Caenorhabditis elegans: one gene and its partner. The protein of the gene in region 1 interacts with the protein of each later gene in a pairwise test. Each region holds a gene or a part of one and is shown on either strand. Other genes may lie near its edges.

Region 1 (6,946 bases):
AAAAGTTCAGAGAACTGTGCTTATTCAGCTTGGGTAAAAAGAGAAACAGAAGTGGAATAAGGAAATTTGAATTTAGTGATTAATTAAATAACGGAACATTTGTTTTGGAACCGAAGCGAGTTTAGTTGTCACCGTCTCCATTATCCATTGGAGATGCGCTTCTCGAACGTCTCGGGGATCCCTTTTCCGAAGGCGAACGCGATCCGCGTGGTGGAGATGGAGAGCGATCGACCTTCTTTGGAGATCTTGATGGCGAACGAGACTTTCTGAAAATAGTTTGTTTTTTAAATCATCACTTTTATAATATCAATACCTGTTGTCAGCGCTGCGAGAACGGCTTCTGCTGCGAGACTTGGACTTCGATTCGCGTCGAGAGCGTTTTGGTGGGGAACGGCTACGGCTCTTTGAGCGACTCGAGCTGCGAGAGCGGGAGCGGCGACGATCACGACTGCGAGAACGGCTGCGAGAGCGACTGTTGGATCGAGAACGTGAGCGTCCAGCTTGCGAGTCGTCGATCATCTTGATCTTTCTTCCATTCAAATCCATTCCATCGCATTTCTCAATGCATCTTTTAAGATCGGATGGTGTTGCGAAGCAGAGAAGTCTGAAAATTGATTTGTTATTTTTCATCTTCTATCTACAAATTGCAAACTTACGCTTCATTTGGTCTCTTATGAGCTTCGGCATAGGTTGGTTCAACTCCTTGGCGGCGGACTTGGTCTTTGAGATCCTGAAAACACAATAAAGATGCTACATAATTACATCTGTCGATATTTGACGGCTTTCCAAGGTGTTGTGAAAAATGTGCGTGAATAGCGCACAATCGGGATTACCATATGCAATCCTTGCACATGTTTGATGCGGGATCATCCGAACCACTCAGCCTAACCACGCGAACACCAAAAACCCGAAATCACATCCCAGCGTGCAGGACCAAAAAGTACAGGAACCAAGAACATCAAGACTACGCGGGAGAAGGAGAGCCAATAATCATTTTGCGCCCTTTGTTCTGCGGTCCGACCATCATCAGACAGGCTCGGGATCACATGATACCAAATCACAAGAATCATCATCAACAACAAGATCCTCCAGTTATCATACAATCTTCTCCTGCTTAAATATAAAATATTAGGAAAGATGTTTTCCTCCCACTGACAAATTGAGATGATCGTGTTGTATTTTGTCAAGATAAAGTTTCAATAGATGTATTACAGTTTCTATCTCCGTTTCGTTTTACATACCTGCCAAGAAATTCGAGATGAGAGATTCTCGACGACGACGCGATGACGAGTGCTGTATGGACGACCGTAGCGACTGAAAATGTAAGTGGTTATTATTATTGCCACTATCGCTTCATTCAATTACCTTTCTCTTCTTGGTGGTCCACGATCATAACGATCGAATCTATCGCGTCCTCCACCGCCACCACCGCTGTATGAGCTGACTCGTGCACCTCCACGACCGCCACCACCGAAACCACCGCGGTCGCCACCGCCTCCTCGTGGTTTGGAATAATCCAATATGACACGCTCTCCACCGAGCTCCTTTCCGTTCAAATCATGAACTGCGTCTTCGGCGTCACGCTTGTCGTCGAACTCCTGAAAAAAAATGACATTAGGAAACTGAAATGGTTTTAGAAATTATAACTTACGACAAATCCAAAACCATTCTTGAGTAGGACGTCGCGAATTTGGCCATAACCACGGAAGAAATGCTCAATGTCCTTTTCAGAAACACGAGAAGTCAACCGACCGATGTAAATTCGAGCTGCCATGCTGAAAAGAAAGCGAATGAATGAATGGCCTGTATCACAGAGGAGAAAAATAATATTGAAGACGAGAAGATTATCGATTCACAAAATGTGCGCGTTTGAGAGCGCACTCACAGACAATGTAGCCATGACAACAACGCGCACCTTGGCCGATAAGCGGGGCAGCTGTTTTACTCAAAACACACTCATTTTCTCTGCGTACAACCACTCTTTTCTCGTCTGCGCCCTACATTTCTTAAATTAGTTGCAATGTTTTTCTCCTAATTAGTTTCAAACTCTGACCCACATATGAAAAAAATGATCTTGCATTTGCGTAATCCTAAAATTCCTTCCTTTCGAATTTGATGATTTTCTGCGTTTTTTAAAGTTCTAATATCGTTTCCTAGCTTGAAAATAATTTGAAGTTTTTTTTAAAGTAAATATATAACACTTAACGCTTTCACATCCAGGTTAGCCAATGGACTCATTTTGCTTTGATATTCTTTATTTGAGATTCTGTGAATCAATGCCTTTCATCACAAAAAAAACATCTTAAAGCGCTTATTCGACTTATTTTCATATAAAATCCTAAAACCACAAGATTATAGTTTGCATTCTGATGAAAAGTTAAGAGCATATCAACCTGAACACCTACGCAGGCGAAATTCAATGCAGGATTAGTGAAATACTTTAAAAATAAGAAGAAATGCCGCACAAAATGCGAAAATCAGTTTCAAATGAGGGCACCCGCGACGCAACCGCAACGCTTAGAGCACTAAGTGCGTGTCAGAACGCTGCTGACGCATTAATGGGATACCATTGCGCGTTTCTCGTTTTATAACTCTGTGGCATCGTCCTGTGCTCCCATTTTATTGATTATCGACTTAATTTCAGCGCGTCGCGTGCATGTGCATGTACATATTGCCTCCTATTTAATGTGCAATGCCCAAATTCTCTTCCTCTCTGGCCACAATAATTTTTATTTCTCCAGACTTTTCTTATTTCTTCTCTCTTTTGAATTGACTTTTCTCATTCTTCACTTATTTCAGACCTCTAAACATGGTTCGTGTCTACATCGGTCGTTTGCCAAATAGAGCATCTGATCGTGATGTCGAGCACTTCTTCCGCGGATATGGAAAGCTGTCTGATGTCATAATGAAGAACGGATTTGGTTTCGTGGTAAGAGATAACATATTTTCGTCAGAATATCTTGAATATGTCATAATTTCAGGATTTTCAAGACCAGCGCGATGCCGATGACGCTGTCCACGATTTGAATGGGAAAGAGCTTTGTGGAGAGAGAGTCATTCTTGAGTTTCCACGGCGTAAAGTTGGGTACAACGAGGAAAGAAGTGGGAGTGGTTTCAGAGGACGTGAGCCAACGTTCAGAAAAGGCGGCGAGCGCCAGTTTTCCAACCGATACAGTCGTCCGTGCTCGACTAGATTCCGTTTGGTGATCGATAATTTGTCTACTCGTTACAGTTGGCAGGTAAGATACATGACTGCGAGCCATAGCGATTCACAAGTTGCGTGTTTGAGTGTGATTGAACAACTAACGAAATACTACCCCCGTTCCAAATTTTACTGAAAACTGTCACTCATTTTTTCAAAACGAACATTTTGAATGCTACAGCAGCAACTCAGTGGGTGTGCCATTTGCCAATACAATTTGCAATTCAATTGCTCTCAATCAATTTCCTCAGTCAATGGCATTCTTCTTCCTCCTATCAATCTGGCCCTACTTCACAAACAATCAATACCCTGTACCTGAATTTTAGGACATCAAGGACCACATCCGCAAGCTGGGAATCGAGCCGACCTACTCCGAGGCGCACAAGAGAAATGTCAACCAAGCGTATGATATGCACTTCTTTTAAATGTAATTCATCGTTTTTATTTTTAGAATCGTATGCTTCACTTCCCATGACGACTTGCGTGATGCGATGAACAAGTTGCAAGGTGAAGACCTGAACGGAAGAAAGCTCAAATGCACGGATGAGACCCGTGACCGCAGCCGTTCAAGAAGTCCACGCCGTCGCTCTCGATCCAGAAGTCCCACTAGAAGCCGTTCTCCACCAGCTCGTCGTCGCAGTCCTGGATCTGACAGATCGGACAGAAAGAGCCGTAGTGCATCACCAAAGAAACGATCCGACAAGAGAGCTCGCAGTGAGAGCAAGAGCCGTTCTCGTTCCGGCGGAAGGTAAAAATAAATTTATGATTAGTGAGAAAATACATTTCTATTTTCCAGACGTTCCCGCTCCAACTCTCCACCAAACCGTTCTCCATCACCAAAGAAAAGACGCGACAACTCTTCTCCACGTTCCGGATCTGCATCTCCATAATTTTATTTATCATTGCACCTCTCATGTGAAATTTCCTGTTCCATCTATTTTTTTATCGTAACGTCAGTAACTCGTGCAAAAAGCCGAATCATGTAATCGACCAATCTAATGTTGTGCGTCTCTCTCTTTCTCTCTCTCTGTTTGTGTGTTTTTTTGTCTAAAAACTACCACTAATTTAATATATTATTTTTATAAAATTCAATAAAACAATTTGGATGCAAACTTTGCAATTTTTTATCGAATACATAACACTTCTCATAAAGTTCATTTGAAAACAATTGAATATTCGCGAAAAAGTTTAATCTAGCTCGCTCAACGTGAAGTGTGAAGCACAGTTATTGCTGTTTTTTGTAGTCGGGAAGAACGGACAGTTTGTACTTGGGCAATGTAATCCAACTGAAGGATCACTCAAATTGACACTGGTTTGTTTGAATCCAACCTAGAAAAATCCCATTAAACAATAAAATCATTATTCCGGAGTTATGATTACTGGTTGAACAATTGTGTTCCAAAGATGCATTCCAATATTTCCATGCCCGTAAGCCGAGAAATGGAAGCAATCTGGAGCAAAGAATGTCATGTCAACAACTCCTGGGCTCTGGAAAATGCAAATATTTAAATGAAATTTAAATTCAAAATGTGCCAACCGCGTATGGTGGATCCAGAATCCCGTTGAAAAATGGTTGAACTACAAACGTGAAATCATCCTTGTTATCGAATAATCCCGTGTTTTGAATATCTTTTTCAGCATTCTGAAAACTTTTAAAAATTTAGAAAGATGTGTCCCACCACGACCGAAACTTTTCAGCTACCGTACCGTATGCGACACTACGGTATCTGAAAAGTTTGGCTCACGTCAAGACCTGGGACTGGTAATAATCCAAAACAAACCATATATCCGAAGCAAACTCCTTGAATATCATCATCAGTGAATTGTTTGTTGGACTCACAATCACATTCGAATCTAAAAGCCAAAAGTTAAACAGAATTTTTAGGAATTCAAGTTCCCCTACGTATGAAGTCCTTCGCAGAAATACTTCTTCTTGTCAATCTTACGAAGCATTCTCATGTTGAACATTCCGGTCAGTGAGACAATTGTTCTGGAATAAATATTTGAATTTTTAAACTCACGCCACGAAGAAAAAGTTTTGCAAACTGAAATTCTACTGAACAGTTTAAATTTGAAATTCGTGCGCCTCTAAAGAGTACTGTAATTTTAAAATTTTGTCTTTTTGCTCACAATTTGTTAAAATTCATCTGGTTTTTATTATTTTTTCTTAGTTTTTGTATAAATATTTTTTAAATAAAAAACTTTATGGAAATTCAGTTTGAAATTACAGTACTTTTTAAATGGCACACACCCGTTTTAACTTTACAAAATATTATCGCGCCGAGACCGGATACCGTATTCTTAGCGCAAAAATTGCAAAATTTCGCGTCTATTCAATACCTTGGCAGATTATCCTGAAGAATCTGAACAGCTGCGATGATATTCTTCTCAAAAGTTGCATTTCCATGAAGAGCCGTCGAGTTGAAGTACGGATCTTCACAATAGACACAAATATCGTTTGCCCCAATGAAAATGTTGACAAGTTTCCAGTCTTCTTTCACGTTAATCTGAAAGCTTTGATTTGAAAAGGGGGCTCAGAAGCTCTAAATTACTTCAGAATGAGCATGCATAGTGTTGACCAGAGCTCTTGCCTGACCGATAATATCCTTGGATTCAGCTCCAGGAACTCCCATATTCAAGTGAGAAACTTCCCATACGTTTTCCGAGCCGATTCCTTTTGAGGCACCCACCAAGGTTGGATTGAACTTTCTTAGTACATCTGAAAGGTTTTAGAAGGGTAAAAATATTATCAAAATTGTAAAAACTCACTTGCAACAGTAATGTGCTCATCAAGGCTTTTATCACCTCCAATCTGGAAGGCAAGTCCTCTATATTGCAGGATGACTGCCAGCGGGTCTCCTGGTTGAGCTCCAGCACCATTGGCTGCCTGGAAGTTTGACCTAATTGGTTTTAGTAAAATTAAAGCATACTCACAGTCAACGAGTCCCCAAGTGCTCCAATAACCTTGATATCAGCAAATCGAACACTATGAGCACTGGTGGGAACTTTCTTACTCTTTGCCATAACACTAGCGTCACACGACCAGTTCGGAGCTCCGAGATCCTTGAGCCCATGAGCCAGGGAGCAACATAGCAACGTGGTAACTGAACGTAAAGAATGGGTGTATTTTTCTAACTAAAAGGCTAGATTTTTGACTAATTTTCTAGTATTTATTAGCAGGTTGCAAATTGAACAACTATGTGGAATTTGAAAGTTGTAGCCACCACCCACTGCGGCTGAGATCGTGAAGAGACCTACTCAGAAAAATAGCGAGCGCGTATAAAGCAAAGCGGCAATTTTTACGAAATTTGGATATTTAAAATTTAAAATTAATTTCTTGTTTTCTGAAAAAAAGGAAAGAATACATGTCTAGGAACCTATGAACAAGAGCATGATAGATACAAAATCATTTTTAAAAAATTGAGATTCTCCTAGCAGAATACACGAGCCTACGTAAATCTAAACGATTAGTTTCTTTTTCTAATAATTCCTAATTCAAAATGACCTACCTAACCACCGCATGATTCAGTAGTGCTGTCTGAAACAGAGTCTCAAAAAGATGATATTCAAGACATTATCGACACCCACTGCTTATCACCTTTATAGTCTTTATCAGGACATTTTGATTTGCGTCCGGACATGCTCTCGCAATCCAATTTGTATGTACATTCATTTAGGGGTTTGAACAGGAAAAGTGGGTGGCGAAACATATAAATTATTAGAAATTAGAAAGTTCTAGCCTCC
Region 2 (8,896 bases), on another chromosome or scaffold:
ACACACGGAAGCGAGAATATTCTCTCAAACCGACTTTTCAACAGTTGAAACGACGAGAAAAAGAATCGCAATTCAATCAACATTTTTAAATTTATTTAAACATTTTCATTATTTATTAATGGTTCATCATCCGGTGGGTCTACACATCCATTAACACCGTAATCTGAGACGTGGTGTCCAAAGTAGAACAGGTGATCGTTGATGTCAAAGTAGCGATGAGTGTTGCTGTAAGAGAAGATTTTCTTATCACGTGATTTCGATCACTGTCACTTGCCTGCACAAATTGTCCTCGTTCAATGGAGTCCCGGTGCAAACTTTGAACGTATCTTGACTTGTCATGTTTCCAGGAAACCAGACTTCGACTCCATGGTGATAGGATCCATGATTGTAGAATGGTATACACCATCTGGCATAGCTTTCCACGCAGAACGGAATATGTGCAACCTAGAAAAAAAACTTTTAATAGTCTTTTGAAAGAGGATATTTTGAACCGCCAGAAAAAAATTTCGAACTTGTTTGAGAAGTTTCATTACGAAATTCGCTCATTTGGGTGCATTTTGAGCCTAATAAAGCATTAAAAAAATCTTAAATATTAGTCTCCCTCACAATATCTCTTCCATGAATCAGTCTCCAGCTTCCTCCAGCAACTAATTTGTCATGTGTCATGGCATATTCGAGATTTCCAACTCTAGGCTGTCCGAATGTGATTGAAAAGGTTCGACTCGACGTTTCGGGAAAGTTTCTAACGAAAACAGTCGATGCAATACTTGCAATAGCTCCGCCCAATGAGTGTCCTGTGAACACAATTTTATGATCTGGAAGTGAGTCTTTCAGTCCTCGCAGTAGTTTTTCCATTGGTGACCACATTGTTTTTAGAGCAGAGTAGAAGTAATAATGAACTGATCCAGCATTGTGCAACTGTAAAATAAGTTTTCTTTGCTCTGTGAGTACTCAGACAAACACTTGAAACATGAGCCTACTTTGTGCTTTGGCCGACCAATGCTTTCGATAAGTTCAGTTACCAGCTGCTCTTTCGATTTTGTTCCACTGAAACTGACGAATATTGTGTCGTTGTCGGCAGCAATCACACTCCAGCACTGGAAAAAATTAAATCAGATGATTTTTGAATATTTAAAGATCTCATGATCTTTTACCTCGTCACGCATATAATCGCACTCCACCTTTTTGAAAAACAATAAAGTCGCATTGTTTTTCGAGATGCAAGGTTCCGGATCGATGGAATACGCAGCCGCTGCGAATTCCAGAGTTCTCTTGCTCAATTCATAGTCAAAATCTCGATTTACTTTCTTGCAATCAGCTAGAAAGAAGAAAAGACATGAAAAAAGAGCGAACCCGTTTCGCATATGGGTCGAAATTCCGATCGAAAATCACTGAGACCTGGAGAGGAAAATTGGGAGGATTGAGAGTTGTTTACGAGGTGAAAAGTTGTTAGATTGGATAAGTGTAAAGATATATTTAAGAGGGGAGAAATTCCACCAATTGGTTAGTATTTAGTTGTTGAGTTTTATATAAATGAAAAAGTCGATTCATTTGGTTTGAGATTCAAGAATTCAGAATTCAGGAAGAGGAAAGTAACAAATAAATATATTATAAAGTCATCCGATCAATATTAACAAAACTTCCAGACGAGGAGAAATAGTTTGAAGTCGATGAACATTGTTGCTGTTCTTGTGCAGCTGGATTGATAATCTCTAGACCTTGAATTGGTGTGAACGTGACAGATGACGCAGTTCCCGCCATTTTGCTTCGAATACTTGTCATTCCTCCAGCTGCTTTCTGTCTCTCCATCTGCCGCATCATCTTTTGCGACATTCTTGCTCTGGTCTTCTGATCCACTGCGGCTGTTCGGATTCTTCCACCAGTCACATTTCCGGTCTTCACCTGCCCAATATCGAATCCCATGTGCTCTTGCATTACATCTTCTCCCAATTCTCCAAAGTTCATGCGATTGGCACTTTTCCGAAGATCCGTCATTCCGAGGCGTTCCTTCATCTTTCTTGTTCGACGTCCTCCACGTTTTTTACTTGCCTTATCCAAAGGTTTTGGAAGCGCTTTGTTAGCTTTCACTGGTGGTGGCTCCAACATTTTTTCAAATTTACTTTCCACCAACGCCAGAAATTCCGCGCCTTTTTCTCCGTTGGATGACTCGTGTTGAGCATCAATTCTAGCAACTAAAGTCACTTTTGCAGCTAAAATTTTGGCCGCTTTGTTTTTCAAATCTGGAGGCATCTTTTGAACCAACTGATGGAAATAGATAAAACCATGATGTGGATTTGTGGACACTGTTGAGAATCCAATCAAATTCTTTTTCGTTTTTCCGAGAACCTGTACATTACATGATGGCATTGTGGCTAGTGGAGACAATCCTCCGGCTTGTGAAACTAGATGGGCAGTAGTAGTTGAGCCGAGCAAAGCAACCAGATTCGGGGCAATCAGAGCCATTCGCCATTCTACAAGTTGGTGCATTTCGAGACGATTGACATGAAGTTGAGCAGCCAAATTACAAGCATCCATGACGGTTTCCAGCTCATTTGGCTCAAGCTTGACTCCTTGTGTTGTTGAGACTGTTACACTGACCACCATGCATGTTGAGGCATCTAGAATTCCGCCGAGTTGTTCTTTCACTACCTTGCTGTTGATCTCGTTTCCCAGTAACTGTACAGTAGCCAAATAGGTCAACGCGTTAGGAACAAGCGTTTCTAGTTCAGGAAAGCGCTTTTCATATTTATCACGAACAAATTTGTGAATCACATTGATCTCGTTGTCGATATCTGCAGCGACCTGAAATTAATCATTGCCTTTTTTGTTTCTTTTTCATGATGTACTTACGTGGGATAATTTAACAATAAGCTTGTATTGTGGATCTGCTTCAAGAGGAGCTGTCACCTTCACTTCATCCTGAGGCCGTTTCAGTTCAACTTCCAATTGTTTCACTAGTGCTAAATATCTGTAAAAGTATTTTAAAATTATATATTAAAACAAAACTAAAACTAACTCATCAGATCTGGCAAGCTTTGCTACATCGTGCACTGATGCATATTTAGTTGTATCCATCGGTTCTTCTGTTGCTTCTTCAATATCATCATCGAGTTCTTCCTTTTTGACGCCCTGAAAATTACAATTTTATCAGATGCTGCAAAAACTCTAGATTTTAAATAATTTAAATTTTAAATTCGATTTACCTTAAGGTTTTCTCCGAGATCTGGAATGTCTTCCAAATCCTCATCGTCGTCATCGTCAAAATCAGCCATAAGTTCTTCAGCCAACGACATTTTTAGGTAGTTTAAAGATTAACTGAAATTTTAGATTAAAATAGTATTTCAATTCTCTTAGTTAAAAGAAAAAATGAACAAGGCAAAAAGAAAAAAAGAAAAGAAAAAGAAAAAAAACAATTTCGAAAAACATTAGGATTGCGAAGTACGGTATGCGACTCCGCAAACACAAAAGCACGCAATGCACCTCATCTGACGACAATTGAAGACCGGCCGCCGCCGGCTGTAGTCGGGCGCAAAAGTTCACGTTGTACGCCGTTCCCCGTCTTTCTCGTTTCTCTTCATTGCTGCAGTTCGCTGGAAATGATCTACTCTTCAATTCGATGACATTTTCTCGGCAATCGATTCATACAACGTTCACATGCCTGCTGGCAAACTATTGCATTTTTTCCAAGCTTTGTTTGAAACCAATCGATAAAACTCAAATGATCCTCATTTAATGTGAACGCCTGATCAATTTTTCTTCGATTTCTTGGCACTTTTAGTTTTTAAAGTTTGAGTTCAATTGTCAGTATAATCGATACAATAACCTAAGGGATGTATTTGAGAAATGGTCAAATTGATTTTCGTTTCCCTTTTGTTCGCCGATATCTCTTTTCTTGAATATCACCGCTTTTCTCGATTTAATAGTTTATTTAGCGTTTCTTCAGGTCGCGAAGAGAATGAAAGAATCAGCTGCGTCTGTAGCTGTGCGGCCTCAATTGAGAGAGGTGTTCGAGCGTTTTCCAGCGGACGCACACCGAACAATTGAAGATGAGATTCATGAAATGATGAAGTGTTACGCTTTTGATGATGCTATTTTTCTAGCCGAGCTTCATTACGAAACCGATAAAAGTGGTTTTCGTTTTTAATTCATATTTTAATTTCAATAACTTTTTTTCAGGCAACAACTCCGAATCTCTTCTTCTATACGCTGATTGTCTGTATAGAGCCAATAAGAAAGAGGAATGTTATGGTCTCCTTAGTTCAGTTAAATTGAGCGGAGCTAGACTCTTCTATCTACTTGCAAGGGTATCCTACGATTTAAATAAGTTAGTTTGTAATATATATGTATATTTATTCATTATTTTAATTTTTCTTTAGAATCGATGACTGTAGAGGAGCTCTTTTCGAACATGACGATGGAGTGATACGGAAAGATATCCTGGAAGAGCCACGGGTTGCATCACATGCTAATTTGCTTCATGCTCAAATGCTTTGCGATGAAAGTTACATGGATCTGGCTTTAGAATCTTGTCAAAAGTCTCTGGATGAGAATATTTTGTTGTGGTCAGCTATCATAACTTATTTACGGTTTGGAGGTCATGATCTCGCCCATACTTTTGAAAAACATCACCGAAAATCGTAAGATTCTGAGAATGTTTAAATTTAAATATTATGCCGACATTTTTATAGAAATGGTCTATACCTGGATAGTCCAGCTTCGAGTTTGAAATCCGAAACACCATCACCAAATGTTCCTGGGCCGTCGTCTTCTTCAGCTGCCAGCACTGCTGAACCTTCCAGACTGGAAAGTTCGGTCAGACGATCTACACGCGGTACGATTGCTTCGGCGAATCGCGAGACAAGAAGTGAGTGAAGCGGAAAAAACTATTGAAAAATTTTCCGTAAATTTATAGGAAGTATTTATAGGATTTTCTTTTTTGGAGAATAAAATTTTGGAATATCAGTTTAGAAAAAAATCCGACTCTAAAAATGCGATTTTTCAAAATCCACTATTAAAAATTTTTGAAAGATCATGCTGAATCAGAAATTAAAAGTTACAGATACCACATCAAACATCACTCCAAGACAATCCACTCCTGGATCCACACCTTCACGTATTAATCCAACTGCCCCGAGAAAAAGCTCCAGAATCAGTGAAATGACGACACGACGTACCGAATCTTCAGTCACTGGATCTCGATCATCGTTATTCACAGAACCCGAGAGACCACACACGAGGGCTACACATAGCTCTAGAAATCGCGCAAAGTGAGTGGTGACAGATTTTGAAATTTTATTTCAATAATTTCAGTGCTGCACTAAACAGCGATACGGAGAATTCGAATGCATCGAATACGAGAACTCGGAGTGGAATTGCATCAGTTACCAGAGGGTCATCGTCGTCCCAGAGGGTAACATTTATTTGGACACTGAAATTAATAATTTTCTAAATTTAGACCAATCCTGTGCGTACTTCAATCAGAATTGCTGACGCCGCCGCTGCTGCAAACAAGACTGCCAAAACTCTGAGTCAAAGAAGACGAAATGAAAAACAACCTTTGGTATCCAGAAACTCAAATCTTGCACGGAGTTTGTCGGGTTCTACCAATTCTGTAAGAATATAATGACCAGTTATTTTTCTTCAATTATTAGCAGCTTCAGGTGGCATCAACAGCTAGTGAGCGTCCATCAGAAGATGAGGTATCCCAGATCAATCCTCCTCTCCCTTCTGTGGCTTCTTCTTTGAACAATGATGAACCTATGGATATTGTCGATGGAGTTTACGATCCAGAATACAGTATGAAATCAGTTAATCAAAAATTAATGATTTTATTTGTTCTTCAGAGAAATTATTTGATGTTTATCAACACATTGCACTTATTGAAGAGTCAATCAGTACATACAATTGGAGATCGGCTGATGCTTTATTCGCAAAACTCGATAGAGATATCATTCTTAACACGTCTATGGTCCGTCTTCAGTTGGGAAGAGCTTGCTTCGAGCAATCCGAATACAGAGAGTGCCGGAACATTCTCGATGATTTGCATAAACGTAGAAAGTGGAAGGTTGACGGAACCGAGCTATTGTCCACCTCAATGTGGCACCTTCAAGATACTCATGCTCTTTCGGCTCTTTCTCAGATTTTGACAACTGAATCACGGGAACGGCCACAGAGTTGGTGTGCCGCTGGAAATTGCTTCTCATTACAAAGACAGCATACTCAGGCAATTGAATGTATGGAGAGGGCTATTCAACTTGACAAACGATTCGCCTACGCATACACTTTATTGGGGCATGAGCTTATCGTTCAGGATGAACTTGACAAAGCTGCGGGATCTTTCAGGTATTTATAGGATCATGAAAGTTTTTAATTAAAACATTAAATTTTCAGATCAGCACTTCTCCTTTCTCCTCGCGATTACCGTGCCTGGTATGGTCTCGGGTTGGTTCACCTAAAGAAAGAGCAAAATCTGACTGCACTGACCAATATCCAGAAGGCTGTTAATATTAATCCAACGAATCGTGCAATGCTCTGCACACTGTCCCAAATCGAGCAACAACGTGGACAAATCGATACTGCTCTCGTGCTGATTGACAGGGCTCTCACTCTGAATCCTCTTGATGTGGCTTGCCGTTTCAATAGATCACGTCTCTTGTTTGAGGCGAATCGAAATGAAGAATGTCTAGTGGAACTTGATAAATTGAAAGCTAGTTCGCCAGATGAAGCATTCATTTTCCATCTGCTTGGTACGTATTAAAATTAGTTATACTATTTTATATAAATTTGAATTTTTCAGCACGAGTTCACCGAAGAATGGGAAATACTCATTTGGCTCTTCTTAATTATAGCTGGGCGGCTGAGCTGGATCCACGTGGCGAGCAGAACATCACTGACTCGAATGTTATCAATCGCGAGGAATACGAGGACGACGAGTACGGATCGCCAGTATAATTTTCATAACTCGTTCTACTTCTCGATAGCTCATCATAGCCAATTTCGTGCTATAATCGTCTTTTTTGGCGCGGGTTTTTCACTCGTCTTTTCTTTCTTTTTTACTTTTACTCTGTTCTATACTAATCGCGGATATATATATATAGTCTGTCGAAGAAAATGCTTTGAGACTATAAACTCATTTTTTGTCAAATTCTTAAATTGTAAAGCAGGAACCCATTTATCTATATTCACAAGCTTTTCAAAATTCGCCTTATAAATTAGAATTTAAATTATATATCACTTTCCGCTATTTACACAGTGATTATTTCACAACCAAACACGAAAAAACTAATTAATCACGGTGTAGGACAAGAAGACAGAGGTGGAGTGGATGTGGTTGTTCGTAGAATCAATCGAGCTAGAATAGCATCAGCAGAGGATGTCGCTTCAACAACGTCGGGCCAATTACGACGAGATGCTTCGGCTAAAACACGAATTTGTTTAGCCTCGTCGGCAAGGTGTCCGATCCATTTTGACTCGACTTCAGTAGGATCGTCCAATCCCATCTATAAAATTAATTTATACAGATTATTTTTTTGTTAACGTACCTTTGCATATACAATACTTTTCGTCCATAATTTCTGTGATTGTAGATACTTGCAAGCATCTCCACCAGCTCCGACCAAGAACAATAGTTCAACTCCGTCTTCAATCAAATCGGATGCAATCAAATTTGTAGCGATGAGCTTTATCAGAGATTTTGCTTTTTCGTTATCCTGACAAGAGACTAGCAACGCTGCTTTGATGCTTGCGTACCGAAGATCTGCAGAAACAATCAATCGATCGGTGACTCTTTCCTTTGCAGATCCTCCAACAACTACAGCTTGTTCGACTAATCTCCTTTCCATTGCTTGTTCAGCTGCACACGCTACACTGATAACTCGTGATTCTCGTTCTTTAAATGCTCCATTCTCCCAGAACATTTGTAGATTTGGAGCCAAATGTTCTGTTTCCGAATGAGCAAATCGATCGATGACAATGGATAGAAGATCAGCCGAAAAGTGATCCCCGATAAATCGCCGTACTACTCGTTCACGTTGAAGTTTTGATAAGTCAGCTTCAAGTGTTTCAATTTGAGGTCTCTGATTCTGATCGATCCATGCAATTGCGTCTTCGAGTGTGCTGTCCTCTGATTTATCAGCCGAACTTCTGTCTTCTGAAGATTTTCGGCTTCCGGATCCTTCAAGGTGTTTACGAACATTATTCATCGAGTCATCTTTGTAGAGGAATGGGATTTCTGAAATTTGATAGTTTTAAAAACAAATCTCCAATTTTAAACTTTCGTGAATATATCAGAAATTTCAGATTTACTTTTTTATCTTTTACAACAGTAAAAATCTCCGAACTGTTCTACTGTGAATGAGCATATTTCAAATTCCAATTTCTGTTATTTCTAACCTATCATTCGACGTAAGGCGGTTGTAAAATGTCGTCCAGGGCAATGGACAACATTTACGACCTACTGACCCTAAATATTTGTTTCCTGGCAATAAAATTAAGCGCAAAATATTTACGGTTCAAACGAAAAACGAAGCAAGAAAGTAACAGGGCTGCGATGTTTTTTGGTTTTTTTGGTAATAGCATCAAATTTTTTTTGGGCTTTTTGGTGTTACACAAAATTCAATTTTTTTTCGGTCCCAGCCCTGGTAAGTAAGACTATGTATATAAAAATTGCAAAATTTCATGTAAAAAACAGAGACCCGAAGAACTCGGGGGATGTCCAATTGGGGGGATTACCAAGAAATGGGCGTATTGCAAGCCACGGTTCTGTGGGCGGGGCCAATCCCCCGAGTTGGTAATCCCCCCAATTGGACATCCCCCGAGTTCTTCGGGTCTCAAAAAATATTTTCGTACAATAAACTAATGAAGACGTTACCTTTCTCCAAAATCGGTTGATTTTTCG

The links. Proteins that work in one complex are often made in the same cells at the same time.
Region 2: the proteins of rsp-2 (region 1) and mat-1 interact in a two-hybrid assay, tested with the Caenorhabditis elegans proteins (one large-scale study listed by BioGRID).

What each region holds. Positions count from the first base shown.
Region 1 is NC_003280.10:11,448,809-11,455,754, reverse strand, and holds rsp-2 (putative splicing factor, arginine/serine-rich 2), read left to right. Parts: upstream 1-2,799; 5' UTR 2,800-2,809; coding exon 2,810-2,929; intron 2,930-2,981; coding exon 2,982-3,239; intron 3,240-3,528; coding exon 3,529-3,605; intron 3,606-3,653; coding exon 3,654-3,950; intron 3,951-3,998; coding exon 3,999-4,092; 3' UTR 4,093-4,314; downstream 4,315-6,946. Other genes in the region: rsp-1 (putative splicing factor, arginine/serine-rich 1), read right to left, coding at 122-266, 314-604, 657-730, 1,242-1,314, 1,366-1,598, 1,652-1,774; W02B12.1 (Lipase_GDSL domain-containing protein), read right to left, coding at 4,391-4,531, 4,583-4,690, 4,740-4,844, 4,984-5,056, 5,106-5,192, 5,543-5,709, 5,755-5,921, 5,972-6,089 and 2 more; W02B12.13 (uncharacterized protein), read right to left, coding at 6,921-6,946. UniProt on the Caenorhabditis elegans protein: Plays a functionally redundant role in spermatogenesis and growth rate control. Required for the development of somatic gonad structures and for progression from larval stage to adulthood.
Region 2 is NC_003279.8:5,122,247-5,131,142, reverse strand, and holds mat-1 (Cell division cycle protein 27 homolog), read left to right. Parts: upstream 1-3,941; 5' UTR 3,942-3,955; coding exon 3,956-4,127; intron 4,128-4,176; coding exon 4,177-4,324; intron 4,325-4,376; coding exon 4,377-4,637; intron 4,638-4,688; coding exon 4,689-4,864; intron 4,865-5,059; coding exon 5,060-5,267; intron 5,268-5,310; coding exon 5,311-5,410; intron 5,411-5,455; coding exon 5,456-5,611; intron 5,612-5,654; coding exon 5,655-5,796; intron 5,797-5,843; coding exon 5,844-6,342; intron 6,343-6,390; coding exon 6,391-6,746; intron 6,747-6,796; coding exon 6,797-6,951; 3' UTR 6,952-7,228; downstream 7,229-8,896. Other genes in the region: Y110A7A.7 (Fungal lipase-type domain-containing protein), read right to left, coding at 96-225, 275-444, 607-918, 981-1,097, 1,155-1,364; prp-31 (U4/U6 small nuclear ribonucleoprotein Prp31), read right to left, coding at 1,609-2,802, 2,851-2,968, 3,017-3,129, 3,204-3,293; Y110A7A.9 (WD repeat-containing protein 11), read right to left, coding at 7,290-7,499, 7,542-8,230, 8,870-8,896. UniProt on the Caenorhabditis elegans protein: Probable component of the anaphase promoting complex/cyclosome (APC/C), a cell cycle-regulated E3 ubiquitin ligase that controls progression through mitosis and the G1 phase of the cell cycle.